Saccharomyces cerevisiae S288C: one gene and its partners. The gene in region 3 interacts genetically with the main gene of each other region. Each region holds a gene or a part of one and is shown on either strand. Other genes may lie near its edges.

Region 1 (4,964 bases), on a different chromosome or scaffold from region 3:
CTTCTTTTCTTTATATCTAGTGTTATGTAAAATAAATTGATGACTACGGAAAGCTTTTTTATATTGTTTCTTTTTCATTCTGAGCCACTTAAATTTCGTGAATGTTCTTGTAAGGGACGGTAGATTTACAAGTGATACAACAAAAAGCAAGGCGCTTTTTCTAATAAAAAGAAGAAAAGCATTTAACAATTGAACACCTCTATATCAACGAAGAATATTACTTTGTCTCTAAATCCTTGTAAAATGTGTACGATCTCTATATGGGTTACTCATAAGTGTACCGAAGACTGCATTGAAAGTTTATGTTTTTTCACTGGAGGCGTCATTTTCGCGTTGAGAAGATGTTCTTATCCAAATTTCAACTGTTATATAGAAGAGCAAAAAATTGCCAAAAAAAACAACATTTATTCATTTGAAATATAAAATTTGGGCTTCTATATTTTAATATTGCTTTTCAATTACTGTTATTAAATGTAAGTACTGTGTCTATGAAAATATATGCAAATGCTAAGAAAAATCCTAAAAATTTGAATATGAGATATTCCTCAGTATTTCTTTTTCATCCTTTCTTCTGCGGCTCTAGCCCTTTGTTCTCTCATCAATCTGCGTCTCTGTTCATCGGTCAAAGAATTCAAATTTTGTTGCTGAATTGAAGGAATATTGGTTAACTTTTTGCCTGGACCCCTCTCTGCATCTTTAGCAAATCTTTGTTTTTCCTTGGCGGCTTCTAATTCCAATTTAATCAGTTTTTCTGCCTTTTCATTCTCTATTGCTTTTTTCTTTTCATTGATTTCATCAACTTGTTCTCTGCTCAATGGCTGACCGATATGAGTTTCGTCCCAATTAGTGAAAGACTCTCCAAGATTGTATCTTGCAATTTGAAACGCGTGTCTCACGTCGTCGTTTCTATTCAAATCCCACGCAGTCCTTCCTAGTCTGTTCTTGATCGTTGGATCGCATTTAATATTTGAGAGCAAAATCAGTGCCATCTGTTTCATCCCTTGCTGCGATGCATAATGTAACATGGTAGGGGTTAAGGAATATTTACTCTCAGGCTTTAACCGAAAGTTTCCATCAAGCTTATTCTTTTTTAAGAAGGATATCAATAACGGTGCCCTTCCTTTCTTCAGCAGAGAAATTATTTCTTCTGTTTGGATTTCTTCCAGTAACGGTTCTTGTTTTTCTTTAAATTCGTCCTTTTTGTTCGACACTTCTAACTTTTGTACTGTTTCTTTCACTGCCAATGGTTCAGGCTTAGGTAATATTTTCAGGTAGGAAAGTTCGCACCATGCCTTCTTCAATTCTAATACAGTGGGCCTGTTCGTGGTAAAAGGGAAGCTCTTTATCCTTTCATCACCCTTGTTCAGAACGGTATTATCAGTAAAAATTTTTTTATCACTGACATTGCGAGCTCGAATAAAAATATTATCACACTTTGACAGATAAGGTTCCCAGTCCTTCAACACACCCTGTATATCTGTTTTTAAAGCGCTTTCATTGTACCTACGAAGTGCTGAACCGGCAGAGTTAGCTTTTCCCTTTGCATTGTCCATTGCTGACTGAGAACCACCTTGCTTCCTTCTGGTAGTATACCTGTGAAACGTCTTGTGCTCTAAGAAATTGACCGCTTGCTCAATTAAGGTTTCGTCCTTCTTGTGCGCGTTCCCCTTGACATTGAGTCTTTGATGAGAAACAATTGCTCCCGCAAAATGTCCACCTCCCACCATAAACAGAGCTGAAATGGCCATTGGGTTCTCTTGCGAATTCCAAAAAGTCAAAGCTTCATTGGGGTTGGAAAGACTCCTTTTATTAAATAGAGACTTATAAATCGCCAAGACCTCATTCTTTTGAAGATACTTCGATTTGAAATAAATGTAGGGCGATTGGGTATTAATATGGCTAATAGCATCCGACTCGTCTTTTTGGAACCCTAATTTCTGCAAATCATTTTCGATTATAGTTTCCATATAATTATTAGTTTGTAGGTCCGGGTCCCGATCGCTGGCTTCCTCACTTTCTTCGTGATCGCTTGAAGTTTGCTCGCCGCCAGAATTTTCGTCTTCAGACTTGATACCATGCTCCTTAGAAATCAGCGCATCGAATTCCTCAACGGATAGGATATCCAGCCCCCTAAGGTTACGCTTAACATTCATCAAATGATAATCAGTCTGGTAGTGGGCCTTTTGTTCATTTCTGGAATCAAAGCTCATTTGACAAACACTACAACGCATAACATTTGATGTGACCTTCTTTCTTGCTATTTGGAGATCTCCAGACTCCTTGTTTCTATCATTATCAGATGTCTTCTCTACTTCAACTTCTCGCAGTGTGGAGTCAAAGCTCATCAATTTCAATGAATTCAGAAGTTGCTCAGACAAATCAAAAATATAAAGATCATTCTTTTTTAGTGAGCCAGTCATTTTACTCGCCTTTTGTGAATTCATGCTATTGGAAGCTTGTCAACAGGCGTGCAGATCTTTTGAAAATCCTTTTTCTTCGAAGGAAAGGTGATATGCATTCTCATTTATTTTCATATACCTTCATCTTTTATTTTCTTCTATTTAAGATTTTGTCACTACATCCATTCAGAGAACCTGCAAAAATAAATATCTGAAAAAAAAAAAAATCGTAATAAATATACAGAATATCGAAAAAAGAAAAAAGGCCACTTTTGAACGTTGTGAAAAAGATATTATTTACATAAACGTATATTATCACTTATAACACTATAAGAATCAATATTTCCACATTACTTCGAACCAATTCTGTGGCACTCCTCCAAGAAAAACTTGATGACGTCTGGATCCATGAAAGGGTGGGTACCGTGACCGAAATTAACAATGTAGCGGGACTTCCCACCTCCAAAAGCCTCAATCATCTGTTTAACTTTCTTTGTTATTACCTCTTTAGAACCATACATGACGCCAGGATCCAGGTTGCCCTGCAAGGTGACACGGTTCTTGTTTATTTTTACCGCTTCTCTTGGGTCCCAGGACCAGTCCAACGAAACAACGTCAAATCCTGAACAGCATAGCTTGTCCAAAGCATACCACGACCCTTTCGCAAAAACGATCATAGGAATCTGTTCCATGATACCTAATTCTTGCAATCTTTTAGGCACTCTTTCGGCAATTTGTCTTAAATATGGTAGGGAAAACTCATCAAAATCTACAGACGAAAGCTCACCACCCCAACTTTCAAAAACTTGTAGTATTTGAGCACCCGCCACGACTTGCTGACTCAGAAACTCCACGGCCACATCAGTGATTTTTTGTAATAATTTGTGAGAAAGCTCTGGATACATGTTAATCCATTGTTTGGCAAATCTGAAAAGACGGGATCCACCGCCTTCCGTCATATAAACCATTAGAGTCCAAGGTCCCCCGCAAAAGCCAAATAAGGGAACCTCACCATCCAACTTGATCCTTGTCATGGTGATTGCCTTGAAAGCCCAATCTAACTCTTTCAAAACATCAACCTTGTAGTCTAATACCGTTTGGAGGTCTTCCGGATTTCTTAAAGGTTCTGGGAAATGTGGACCTTTACCTTCGAGCATCTCGACCCTCATACCCATGGCTTGCGGAATAACTAAGATATCACTAAAAATAATAGCAGCATCAATGAGGCCTCTATAGCGTCTTACCGGCTGGATAGTAATCTCAGAAGCAATTTCCGCATCCCTGCAAGTTTGAAAGAAATCACGATTGTTTTTCACCTCGTGATATTCCGGCAGGTAACGACCTGCCTGGCGCATTATCCAGCATGGCGGTCTCTCGACTTTTTCACCCTTTGCGGCTCTCAATATCAAATCGTTTTTTGGAGCTGGAAAGTTACCCATAGCGTTATAACCTGTTCTTTGCTTTATTTTTTTTTTTTTTGTTCTTCCTTTTCTCGAAGAGAGCTTACCAAACACAATTCTGAGATAATGCTTGATGAATTGAAGAACCTATCGATCACTCTATGTTACCTTCGTCTGGAACATCACTAATTCGAGCGGTAAAGATGAAAATGGCAGAACATTTCGCTGGCAAAATTAAAACTCTTGCCTCATTTTTTTTTGCTTTCCTCTCCTGCCGCCAAAAACCCCGAACCCTGTCCTGTATATACGAGAAACATTGAAAAAGATCGTGTATGATAGCGCCAAGATGGCGGATAAACTAACACTATTGACAGGTTGAGGCCAAGGATATATTACTTGCTAACAGAAAGAGATACTGTCACCACAATTGCCCGCGTACGTATACTACAACATGTTCTCTATATATCACCCACTCTTTCGCAGTGCTACGTACGCCAAAAACGCGCGCATGGAAGTAAAGAAGTTTTTTCTTTTAAGAGCGAAGCTCCATTAAAAGCCTTGAATATAAACTAGTGCGAAGTAGTATGATCCGAAGACACCAATTGCTGGTGCAGCATAGGAATATGTGGCGTCCGAAAAAGAGCCTTTAACAATCCACGGCGAAACAAGGCACCGCTGTGCATTTAAAACATGCCGTTCCCGTACCAAGTTATATTGTTACGGATGAATCCAAAATAATTTGTTAAAAAATGCTGCCGTTCCGTCCCATTGAGTTTTATTTTCCTTCTCATGGCACCTTCTTCGTTTCTTCATCCTGCATTAGACTTACTAGTGTGCTTGCCGGATGCGTGCTTTTTTTTTCCGGCCGACACATATCGCTGAGCTGGAAGGACACCTTTTAATGTAGCCGTGCATGCGGCTCCGCGAAAAGAGCTCTGCTATATTTCTCTACCTGAACTTCGAGCCGCGATCAACGAAAGCTCTCATCCAAGGCTCGTTTTTCTTGACAGAAGCATGACAGTAAAATATGCGGTCATTTTCGACTGCAAGTAGTTCAGCTACCATCCCCAGGTTTACACAGTTTTTTTTTTAGTCATAATTGCCTTTTTCTGGCGCCTCTGTTGATCTTGTCTTTTTCGCTAAAGGATAGATATATTAGCAGTGA
Region 2 (4,653 bases), on a different chromosome or scaffold from region 3:
TTAAATGCTTTCATACATTTCCTTGGTCTTTCATCAGATGATATGCCAGATATCAACAATTATAGACCTAATATAACATTGAGTTATTTTTTACACGTATAATAATAACTCCTTCTCCGGCAATGAATATTTTGCTTCCAAATTGCAAAATTCAAGATTTAATTATAAAAACTCTGAAGTAATAGACCACCTATTTCAAAAATATTCCGTATTTTTCCCTCTCTATAAAAACAAAGGGCTTCCAAAATATCCATTCCAATAAACGGTAAACTCACCCATTTATGATTGGGACAAGAGCAAAAAAAAAGGAAATTGGGAAAAAAAAAGAGAAAGAAAGCAACAGAATAAAGGGAACTTGATAAAACTGAAGTACCGTGGGTCAAGTAGCGTGAAAGAGTCAATTCATCGACTAATGGATGCATAAAACGTATGACTGTATAGTACTGGAGTGAAAACGAAGAGATAAAGAAAGGAAAAAGGGAGATTAATAAAAAGAAAAAAATTAAAGGAGTTCTATATTTGGATTAGTCTTTTATTCTTTCTGCTTACCACCATGAAGCGTTGCTATTTCCGTAACCGTTTTTCTCATTATCATTTCTAAACCCACCTCCAATCGAACCCCAATTTGATGTTCCAGTATTCCTTGGCCTCGTGCTCCCAAATGAGCCATTTCCACCATGTTTACGGTAGTCTCTTGAACCGTTATTACGACTATTGAAAAAACCTCCTCCTCCCCTAGTTCTTCCACCTCTTGAATTCTGTCTTGACAGGTCACTTAAAAACGTGGGAACTTCTTGATTCGCTTCATTTAAAATTTCCATCAAACCCTTCACAATATTCTGATTATTACTATTGAAGAATGAAGTAGCCACGCCTGTGTTACCAGCACGGCCTGTTCTACCAATTCTGTGAACGTAGTCATCGATGTCGGAGGGCAAATCATAATTAATGACATGTGTGACATTCGGTATATCCAAACCTCTCGCTGCTACAGCTGTTGCGACCAGGATATCAGCTACGTTAGCTTTGAAAGCAGATAAGGCACGTTCACGTTCAGCCTGTGTGCGGTCACCATGTATGGCTGTAGCTTTGAAATTTTGCATGATCAAAAAATCTGTGAGTTGATCCGCCATTCTTTTCGTTTCAACAAAAATCAATGTCAATCCCTTATGCTCTGCAGACAGTAAATCTAACAACGCAGACTTTTTGTCCATGTCATCGACATATAATATTCTTTGCGTGATATTTTCTGAGGTGGAACCGACTCTTCCTACTGATAAAAAAATATAATTATCTAAGAAATCGCGTGCCAAATGCTGGATATCTACTGGGAATGTGGCGGAAAACATCAAGGTCTGTCTATTTTCCACAGAGGGCATATCACATTCTTCAACTATATGGCGAATTTGGGGTTCGAATCCCATATCTAGCATTCTATCAGCCTCATCCAATACCAGGTATTTGATATTAGCCAAAGAAACTTTTCCGCGTTCTAATAAGTCATTCAGCCGCCCTGGTGTAGCCACCAATAAGTCACAGCCGCGGTCAACCTCCCTCATCTGGTTACCGATTGGCGCGCCACCATAAACAACGCATGGCCTAACCCAAGATCTATACGTAAATTTTCTTGCTTCTTCAAAAATTTGGGTAGCCAATTCTCTAGTTGGTGCAAGTACTAAAGCAGATGGATATCCCTTTCTAGAATAAAAGCTCTGTGCTTTCTCGGGTACTGGAGAGGGCCCAGACCTGAATAGCTCCGTGAAGAGCGGAAACAAAAACCCACCTGTCTTACCTGAGCCCGTTTGTGCGCATGCCATCAAATCCCTACCTTTGGTAACTATTGGAATAGAATATTTTTGTACTGGAGTAGGTTTGGTGAAACTAGCAAGTTTGATATTTTCCATTAACAGCTCATCCAGAGGGGGAGAACTAAAATCTAGTATAGGTTCAGGAACATCTTTTCCAGATGCATCTACGGGAATATTATCGTAATTATCAAACTTTATACCAGATGAATGGTAATCGGGATCGTCGTGTACACCAAACAGTTCGGCTTCTAATTTCGCGTTCTTAGGCCCCGGTATATGCTTGCCATTTACCCATCTATTTCCAGATGATTTGTAATTTGAGCTGCCTCCGCGGTTATAGTTCGCACTCGTCCCTCCATTTCTTTCCTTAGAAAAGCCAAAAAACCCGCCATTGTTCCCAGTTTGCCTTCCAGCACGTCTGAAAAAATCACCACCCGTAACCTTATCTTCCTGTTTTGGGGTACTTCTTTCGAATGATGGTTTTCCTCTACTTCTCAAGTGCGGTGGGACATAAGATGATTTGCCGCCACCACCACCATTCTCTTTGTTGTTGATGCTTAAATTAGATACCTTCTGTGGCAAGTCTGCCATTTTTTCTTGTAATACTTTCACTCAAAGGGGTTTTTCTTAAAATATCCTTTAACTGACACTACCGATATCTTTTATAATCATGAATAATCCTTGTTATAAAATAAAGGCATTACTTCAGAGATGACCTTAAGTAACCTTCCCTTAAAATTGTTAAAGAACTCGCGGGGTAATATTTACGTTGACAGTGATATTTGTTTTGAGAAATCAAAGAATGAAGAACTTAGATGTAGAGTTAAAGGAGCAATACGAATAGGTGCCGTGATGAAGAAAAAAAATCATACAGACATTTGCTACAACCCTTGGTGAGACTGTTTCGATCATTTTTCTTTTTCTTTTTCTTTATTTTAGAAAAAATTGAACGAAATGACATTGGCAGAGTTGCTTGGACGGTCGAGAATAGCTCAAGTAGCTAACAATCATAAACCATTGACATACACTGGCAAAAAATTTCATCCAACACATCAAATCATCGAAACTAAGCCATCGACACTATACAGACAAGAATGGGGGTTGAAATCCGCTATTCCTTCGAAAATTAAATCTCGATATTTGGTGTACAACGATTTGGATACGTTGGAAAGAATTACCACATTCGAACCTAGAGGCGGTACGCAATGGAATAGGCTAAGATTTCAAGAAATGGGAGTACCAATTGTGTCTAATATAGGCAGACAAAATCCATTTTTCAAGTACATATCTCGTCCTGAGGATGAGTCTCATGCTAAATTGTCCTTATTCAAAGAAATGAAAGGAGATACAGATATTTCGCCTGCTGCTATGAAGAAGCGTTTGAAGAAGATAACAGCACTAATTAGATCGTTTCAAGATGAATTTAAAGAGTGGCTGGTGGAAAATCATCCGGATGAATTGAAATTGAATTCTAATAAGCTGGAAGACTATGTAGTGAAGTTTCTAAACAAAAAGTTGGAAACAAAAACGAATAAAAAATTTAACACTGAAATCATTGGTACAGGTGGATTATCATACAGCTTGCCAGGAAAGCTAAAAAACTCACCAAATGGTGTCATTCAAAGGACTGTAGTACCCGGTAGAATCTTGAACGTTGTTAAGGAGAACAACGACAATAAATGGCTGGCAGCTATTGGTGGGTTTGTGGCCGATGTGGTATTTTTCCAATCACCACCTAGTTCCTTTAACTCCATGGGAGATTTCATCAGAATGAAAACGTTCTTGTTCGAGATCTTGGAGGCATCTATGGAGAAAAATGGTTCTGTTTCGATGCACGCTAGATTACTCGAACCACAAAATGACAAGACCAGAGAATTTTTCAATAAGAGACCAATTTATAAACCATTGACCTCTAGAAGGGCACGTCGACCATCAGTGGGAAACATTCAAGAGGCCAATAACCTTTTGAATATAATCAAGGGAAATTGAGAAGAGAAAAAAAAAATGTGAACAATCAATGTATATTCAGAGTTCTGTAAATAAATAAAGAAAATAAAGTTTACATATTACTAAGGATTTTTGTCGCCTATTTTTACTATTTTTCAGGTGAAATGAAACGTTTTATATCACATTTTGCTATGATAACAAAGTTATTATGATTTTTATGTAGCCTATATTATTGACGCGTTGTTATAGCATTCTATGAATTTGCCTGTCATTTTCCACTTCAGAAAGGTCATCTAATTGCTCCCACCAGTTGAATAAGTAATTCTCGCAAATAATCTTAAACCAAGGCGTAAACTTGTAACTTGGGTCAGCAAACATAGTTTTCAAATCATTTGGTGAAACCCATTTGAAGTCTCTAACTTCATTGACGTTTGGGTTGACAGTCAAGTTTTCTTTAGCGTTGATCTTATAAAATAGGATGTAATCAATTTCATGTTCACCCCATGGTTCATTGCTTGGTGCCATGTAATGGATTCTGTTTAAAAAGTGAAACTTACCCCTTGTCTTAGTTTCATCTTCTGGAATACCTAATTCATGATCTAGTTTTCTCACCGCCGCAGTAATAGCGCCCTTAATCTTATCGTCTAGCTTACCCTTCAAACCTAATTCGTCATCAATACATAGTGGATGAGAGCAGCATGTGTTAGTCCAAAGATCAGGGAAAGTTATTTTTTCAGTGGCTCTTTGTTGTAAAAGTAATTCACCTTGTTCATTGAAAATAAAGACGGAGAATGCACGATGTAGTAAACCCTTTTCAATATTTTCCATTAAATGACAAACTTTCTTGGTACCGGCACCAATAGCATTATCGTCCCAATCCAAAACAATACAATTTTCA
Region 3 (7,780 bases):
TACGTTCTTCAAGCTTACAATTTCTCAAGGTGCTTTACTGGTCAAGATATTCAATATATAGCTAAATATTTATACAAAATGTTTGTTGACGGTTTGTTTATAGTGTTTTCAAAACACCACGAAAAGACTTCATTCTTGCATTCTTTTTTCTACAAGATGAGTCTATACATCTGAAACTGCGACGCCATTTTTTCCGCTGTTCGGGGCATTCTTGGCCAAATCCTCGAAAGAAATAAAACGTCAAAAGTAAAAAAGGTGGGCTAGACGAAACGTTATTATACGTCATAATTGTAGCCGTGTATGAGTGGGTGGAACTTGTATAAATAAACAAGTTCTTACTTATCATATTCTCGCATGCAATGAAATTCTCCAGATTATGACGCTTAGGTCTGGCCAGACGGCTAATGAGGTCCAGAGGAAATAGAAGGATTGTAAGCGGCCTCCACTAAATTTTGACCCCTCATACATGCTTGTTCAAACACAAAAGATTGAGGTTGAAAACTTGGCAAGAATTGGGCTAGGAGAAAGTGGCCAGGTGCTTCTTGTTCAGAACCAAGCAGATATGCTAGCACAATGTGCACCGTTCTATTTTTTTCTATAGTGTGTTTACATTTCTTGGCACATTGCGTTCGGTTTCAAATTTGTATAATTATTATTGGAGCGAGACAGGCGTTTCTGTACCGCTGTTATTTTTAACATCCACTGCGTTTTATGTATCTCTAAAATTGTGCGTTGCCTTTCTTTTGTTTATATTTTTGTTCAAAAAATGAGTTAATAATGATTTTTCATCTTCGGCTTACCGGTCTTGAAAATATTTGTTAAGACAACAGTGGATAAAATAAAACTAAACAACTCAAGCAAAAGTATTCCACTTCTTAAACAAAGCCCAACTGAAAGGTTGCGAAATACTATGTCATTTTGATTTAATCATCTAATGCTCGAGAAAATTTCAGAGCCGTAATACTTAAGTAATCGGAAGAAAAGTATCTCATTCTTCATTTTTCTCCAAATATATACCTCTTGTGTGAAAAATTAATTGTTTCCTCCACCTCCTTTGTGTGGTGGGCAATTGTGTGCTTCCGAGTAAATAACAAAACATAAGGATAATATATAATTCTGTTTTTTTGTCTAAAAAAGGTAAACTATATATAACAAACACAGTATAGAAACACAATATATCGGTCATTGGGTGAGTTTAAGCATTAGCAGCAATGGCTTGCTTAATAGCCGCTGGGTTGGCACCAACAACCTTTGCAACTTCCTTACCGTTCTTGAATAGAAGCAAAGTTGGCATAGCGGAAACTTCATTCTTTTGTGCAACATCACCCAATTCATCGACATCCAATTTATAGAAATCAGCTTGTGGGTATTGTTCAGAGAATTTTTCAATCATTGGAGCAATCATTTTACATGGACCGCACCAAGTGGCGTAGAAATCTACGACAACTAGCTTGTCTTGAGCAATTGCAGAGTCGAATTCGCTGGCAGTTTTGAATTGAGTAACCATTATTTGTATCGAGGTGTCTAGTCTTCTATTACACTAATGCAGTTTCAGGGTTTTGGAAACCACACTGTTTAAACAGTGTTCCTTAATCAAGGATACCTCTTTTTTTTTCCTTGGTTCCACTAATTCATCGGTTTTTTTTTTGGAAGACATCTTTTCCAACGAAAAGAATATACATATCGTTTAAGAGAAATTCTCCAAATTTGTAAAGAAGCGGACCCAGACTTAAGCCTAACCAGGCCAATTCAACAGACTGTCGGCAACTTCTTGTCTGGTCTTTCCATGGTAAGTGACAGTGCAGTAATAATATGAACCAATTTATTTTTCGTTACATAAAAATGCTTATAAAACTTTAACTAATAATTAGAGATTAAATCGCTTATTGCTTAGCGTTGGTAGCAGCAGTCAACTTAGCTTGTTCAACCAAGTTTTGTGGAGCATCGAAGACTGGCAACATGATTTCAATCATTCTGATCTTAGAGTTGTCGTTGAAAGACTTGTCTTGGGTCAACTTGTCCCATTCACCGGTGGTAGCGACTCTGTGGGTTTCATAGTCCTTAGCACCGAAAGTTGGCAACAAGGATAGGTGGTCCCAACCTTGAATTTCGTTGTATTGAGCCTTTGGACCGTGAATCAACTTTTCAATGGTGTAACCATCGTTGTTCAAGACGAACAAGTATGGCTTCAAGCCCCATCTGATCATGGTGGAGATTTCTTGAACAGTCAATTGCAAAGAACCGTCACCAATGAATAAGATAACTCTCTTCTTTGGATCAATTTCTTCAGCAGCGAAAGCAGCACCCAAGGTAGCACCAGTGGTGAAACCAATGGAACCCCATAAGACTTGAGAGATACCGTAGGTGTTGTTTGGGAAAGTGGTTTGGTTGATACCGAAAGCGGAGGTACCGGTTTCAGCAATGACAACATCACCTTCTTGCAAGAAGTTACCCAATTGGTTCCACATCCATTCTTGCTTCAATGGGGTAGAAGCTGGGACAGCAGCGTTAGCTGGAGTTCTAGCTGGGACAGCAACTGGCTTGTAACCCTTAGCGGCGTCAGCAATAGTGGTCAACAACTTTTGCAAAACGAATTTCATTTGGACACCTGGGAAAGTGGCGTTTCTGATCTTCATGTGGTCGGAGTGGAATTCGACAATGTTCTTGGTCTTGTAAGAGTAAGAGAAAGAACCGGTGTTGAAATCAGACAACAAAGCACCGACAGACAAAATCAAGTCAGCAGATTCAACGGCTTCCTTAACTTCTGGCTTGGACAAGGTACCGACGTAAACACCACCGTATCTTGGGTGTTGTTCGTCAATGGAACCCTTACCCATTGGGGTGACGAAAGCTGGGAATTGAGTCAAGTCAATCAACTTCTTAGTTTCAGCCTTGACGTCGTGTCTGGAACAACAAGCATCAGCCAAGATAACTGGGTTCTTAGCATCCTTGACCAAAGCCAAGATGGTGTCAATGACTTCCTTTTCGGATTCAGCATCGTTTGGCTTCAAAGACATGTCAATTGGAGTTTGCAACAACTTAGCTGGGACGTTCAAGTCGACCAAGTTAGCTGGCAAACCTAAGTAGACTGGTCTTTGGGTGACGTAAGTGGTTCTGATACATCTGTCAATTTCAGCTGGGGCGGTAGCAATGTCAGTGATCATAGCAGTGGTTTCAGAAATGTTGGCAGACATTCTGTGGAAAACAGTGAAGTCACCGTTACCCAAGGTGTGGTGCAACAACAATTGCTTAGCTTGAGCAGAGATGGATGGGACACCAACAACGTGCAAAACACCGACGTGTTCAGCGTAAGAACCGGCAATACCGTTCAAAGCAGACAATTCACCGACACCGAAGGTGGTGATGATACAAGACATACCCTTGATACGAGCGTAACCATCAGCGGCGTAAGCAGCGTTCAATTCGTTGGCGTTACCAGCCCATCTCATACCTTCAACTTCGTAGATCTTGTCCAACAAGGACAAGTTGAAGTCACCTGGCAAACCGAAAACGGTGTTAACGTTGACTTGCTTTAATCTTTCGAACAAATATTTACCCAAAGTAATTTCAGACATTTTGATTGATTTGACTGTGTTATTTTGCGTGAGGTTATGAGTAGAAAATAATAATTGAGAAAGGAATATGACAAGAAATATGAAAATAAAGGGAACAAACCCAAATCTGATTGCAAGGAGAGTGAAAGAGCCTTGTTTATATATTTTTTTTTCCTATGTTCAACGAGGACAGCTAGGTTTATGCAAAAATGTGCCATCACCATAAGCTGATTCAAATGAGCTAAAAAAAAAATAGTTAGAAAATAAGGTGGTGTTGAACGATAGCAAGTAGATCAAGACACCGTCTAACAGAAAAAGGGGCAGCGGACAATATTATGCAATTATGAAGAAAAGTACTCAAAGGGTCGGAAAAATATTCAAACGATATTTGCATAAAATCCTCAATTGATTGATTATTCCATAGTAAAATACCGTAACAACACAAAATTGTTCTCAAATTCATAAATTATTCATTTTTTCCACGAGCCTCATCACACGAAAAGTCAGAAGAGCATACATAATCTTTTAAATGCATAGGTTATGCATTTTGCAAATGCCACCAGGCAACAAAAATATGCGTTTAGCGGGCGGAATCGGGAAGGAAGCCGGAACCACCAAAAACTGGAAGCTACGTTTTTAAGGAAGGTATGGGTGCAGTGTGCTTATCTCAAGAAATATTAGTTATGATATAAGGTGTTGAAGTTTAGAGATAGGTAAATAAACGCGGGGTGTGTTTATTACATGAAGAAGAAGTTAGTTTCTGCCTTGCTTGTTTATCTTGCACATCACATCAGCGGAACATATGCTCACCCAGTCGCATGTTGTTACCCTCATGAAACATGTATGAGATATTACTTTGAATAGGTTACTTGCATGCATTTCGGCGTGCGGGTACCACCTCTTTGCATGAGCTTGTTCCTTTTTCAAGTTGAAGACTATATATTTTATTGAGTTTATGTTATGGGGAGGCTACCCTTTACGTCCTGGTTGTCCCTTCCCGCCTTGATTTGGCCTTCATTTTTTCAATTCTGGCCTTTAGGGTAGATGTCACTGCAGCGGCACGTTTATAACTTTCTTCTGAGGCAAAACTATCGTTGAAATCGATATCCAAATCGTCGGAGACACTGCTCACTCCAGTGCCGTTTTTTCTGTACGGCCGTATGTTAAGAGAGTTTACGCGGTGCGGCAGGTCGCCGATGGACTCGCTTGATCTTCTTTCATAGTTGACGTCCTCTTTCCTTCTGACATCTTCCTCCTCCTTAAATGGCAAAGCGGAAGATAAAGATTTTACCCCATAGTTGCTTGACACGGTGGAAGAAGGTATGGAGTATGATGAAATCGTACCCATCGATTGCAAGTTTGTATCATTTCTTTTCTTATTTCTATCCAATTCGATCTCCATGTTTCTAAGCTCGTTTTCTAGTGACAGTACTCTATCAGACAGCTTATTGACATCAATCTCCTTGGATCTTAATTGAATGTTCTTTTCGTTCAATTTAGACTGCGCTTCCTTTAGTTGCTCTCTTAGCATTTCGTTTTCTTTAATCATTTCGATCTTATAATTTTCTGTATTATTCATCTTTTCCAATAGGCTTTGTCTTTCTTTGGTCCATATCATCTCATCATTTTGTAGTTTTTGCAGTCTGTACTTGTATTCTTCAATCAACTTTTCATTCTTGTCAGTGCTATTAGCTACTACGTTTTTTGGCGTTGCCAAAGACTTAGACGTCAACAGGACCCTCGATTTATTGTTAGCAGCTACCATTGATGGTTTTGATGCGGAGGCTACTGACCCTATTGGGTTCACTTTACTTTTGTTATCATTTCTCAGCGGTGAAGATGCCACTCTCTTGGAGGGAAGTACAGAACTTTTTTTCAGGAGAAATTTATTCTCCATTGGCCCAGTTTGTTTATTCGTTTCAATAGTGCTATGGGTACTACCACTTGCAATACTGAAATTAGGTAGAGTTTTGACCGTTTCTTCAATTTTTTTCCTTTTCAAATTATCCAAGTGCTCTAATGTTTTCACAAAGGTATTCATGCCAAATATTTTAATTAGAATGGCGAAACTCTCAAATCCAATAGTTCTTATAGCAGGTTGGGTGTCGTTGACGATCTGAATCACAATTGGTACCACTTCATCCTTCAAGTATCTTTGCAGGGTCGAGTATCCATCTTTTTCTTCTTTCATGCTTGCATTAAACAATTGCGTACACTCCATTCTGATTTGAGGTGTCTTGTGCTTCATATGCTCCAAAATATCTTTCAACATATCTTCATTGCGTCCACTGGAGGCTAATGGATCGTAATACTTGCAGATGGTTAATAATGCCTTCCTAATGGCCTCTATCACAGAAGGTTTCTTTTCCTTTGTCCTGTCTAACAAGGGAGTGAAGACTAGTGAAACATAATCCTTGGAAAAGCCTGGTGTTTTTAGTTTGTCGCAGATTAATTCTACTGATTGAGCGGCTAGTGCAACAGCTTGAATGTTTGCATCTTTCTGGATAATATGGCCATATATCCCCAATAAGTTGGAATAATTTTGCGAGGTGCTTTTTAACTTCTTAGTCTGCGATAGAACACTATCCCAAAATTCTTCCAGCGCTTCCACTCTATCTTTCCATTTGGACGACGTTATCCTTTCCTGGAAGTCCTTAGGCAGTTTATCGAGGATCGTCTCCTCCGGTAGCATACTGAAGGTGTCTATTTGAACTCCACTTTGCTGTTTTGATGGTGGCATATCCGTTTCCATCCCCATCAATGTATCTCCATCCTTATCTATCTGATATTCCCCCTCATCATTCGATAATATGGACTTTCTTTTCCTGGCTTCCTCCTCTTGGCTTCTTTTCTTTTCCAATTCTCTTTTCTCCCACTCGAATAACATTTTCGATGACGATGGCTCGTCACCAACTTTTGCAAACAATTTATGAAGATCTTTCACTTGAATTGGTTTTAATTTTTTAAACAGTATCTCCTCTAACAAGTCGCTATTGTTGCCCGTAACCTTATAGATCTCGACAATCAAATTCATCGTTTGTGATCGAACGTTTCTATCACCATGACCGGCTAGTTGAGGTACGTGCTTTAATAATTCTGGTAGAAACGTTTGAACGTTCACATTAGTGAGCCCGAATGCAGCCATCAACTCATAAACACAATTGGCTGCCGCAGCAATTAATTTTGGCAGTTTTTTCTCGAAAAAGGGTATTACCAATTCCACCGATTGCGTAATAGATGTATCAAGACCACATAGTGAGAGTATACAGCTCATCGACTGCGTCTTCGTTGTAGCCCTTGAGGACGTTAAGCCCTTTTCCACAAGCAATGGTGTCCATGTTGATATTAAAGTAATATTATGTGCATTTTTCAAAGACGATGACGCAAAGGCATCTATTAAACTATTCAAGGCAACAATGGCTTGTTCTTGAGCGACCACATTAGAATCAGTTATATATTGTGCAAATAATGTAGGATCCCTCCAGTAAATTTGTATGTTGTCATCCCTACTGATGTCGCCAACGGAGTTTCTAAAAAGCTGGTTTAACTCCTTATAAGCTTCTAAACGTGCCTTCCATAACTTGTACGTTAATCGCTCTTCTAGGGGTAACGTTGTATAATCTACTTCTTCTTCTCCTGACATAGTCAACTTCAAACTCTTTAATAAAAACTCAAAAATACTTTACACTGTAAAGATAGCTGTTTCTTTGTAGTTTAGTAATGCTATTTGGTCCCTAGGTCTGGTAGGTTCTTCATTTACTCTTCCTATGGAGTGTCAAGCAGACAAAACAAAAACAAAAACAAAAACAAAAACGACACGAAAAAAAATAGATTCGTTAACCATGATAATCTTTGCACCATATAAAGGAAAAGACAAGATTGACTTCTAATGCCCAGCACAAATATTATCCAACTATTTAATTAATAAATTTTTGACTACTTAATCTTCAGACACAGATTCCTTGTCTAATAATTTGTTTAATTGAATATTGACAGATTTATCCTGCAGCTTGAACAAATTTCTTGCGCGAAAGGTTGCTAGGAAAATCAAAGGTAGTAAAAACATTAGAACTGTATCGAAAACGTAAAGGCACCATTCGTGCTGACCTATATAGCTTTGTAAGCCCATTAGAAATTGTACTACTCTGACAATGGTTCTACCATTAACCAGCAATATCCCAGCTAAAAGTATAAAATTGTACTGGAACCATTCATTACTATCCCGC

What was found. Genes that interact genetically often act in the same process or in processes that back each other up.
Region 1: mutations in PDC1 (region 3) and VMS1 together harm fitness more than expected from each alone (negative genetic interaction), as found in Saccharomyces cerevisiae (2 studies listed by BioGRID).
Region 2: mutations in PDC1 (region 3) and DBP1 together harm fitness more than expected from each alone (negative genetic interaction), as found in Saccharomyces cerevisiae (2 studies listed by BioGRID).

The regions. Positions count from the first base shown.
Region 1 is NC_001136.10:550,734-555,697, reverse strand, and holds VMS1 (Vms1p), read right to left. Parts: upstream 2,445-4,964; coding exon 546-2,444; downstream 1-545. Other genes in the region: uroporphyrinogen decarboxylase HEM12, read right to left, coding at 2,750-3,838. UniProt on the Saccharomyces cerevisiae protein: Endonuclease that cleaves polypeptidyl-tRNAs downstream of the ribosome-associated quality control (RQC) pathway to release incompletely synthesized polypeptides for degradation.
Region 2 is NC_001148.4:323,866-328,518, forward strand, and holds DBP1 (putative DEAD-box ATP-dependent RNA helicase DBP1), read right to left. Parts: upstream 2,400-4,653; coding exon 546-2,399; downstream 1-545. Other genes in the region: YPL119C-A (uncharacterized protein), read right to left, coding at 159-422; mitochondrial 37S ribosomal protein bS1m MRP51, read left to right, coding at 2,763-3,797; isopentenyl-diphosphate delta-isomerase IDI1, read right to left, coding at 3,999-4,653. UniProt on the Saccharomyces cerevisiae protein: ATP-binding RNA helicase involved in translation initiation. Remodels RNA in response to ADP and ATP concentrations by facilitating disruption, but also formation of RNA duplexes.
Region 3 is NC_001144.5:230,507-238,286, forward strand, and holds PDC1 (indolepyruvate decarboxylase 1), read right to left. Parts: upstream 3,576-7,780; coding exon 1,884-3,575; downstream 1-1,883. Other genes in the region: thioredoxin TRX1, read right to left, coding at 1,196-1,507; STU2 (Stu2p), read right to left, coding at 4,531-7,197; YLR046C (uncharacterized protein), read right to left, coding at 7,495-7,780. UniProt on the Saccharomyces cerevisiae protein: Major of three pyruvate decarboxylases (PDC1, PDC5, PDC6) implicated in the nonoxidative conversion of pyruvate to acetaldehyde and carbon dioxide during alcoholic fermentation.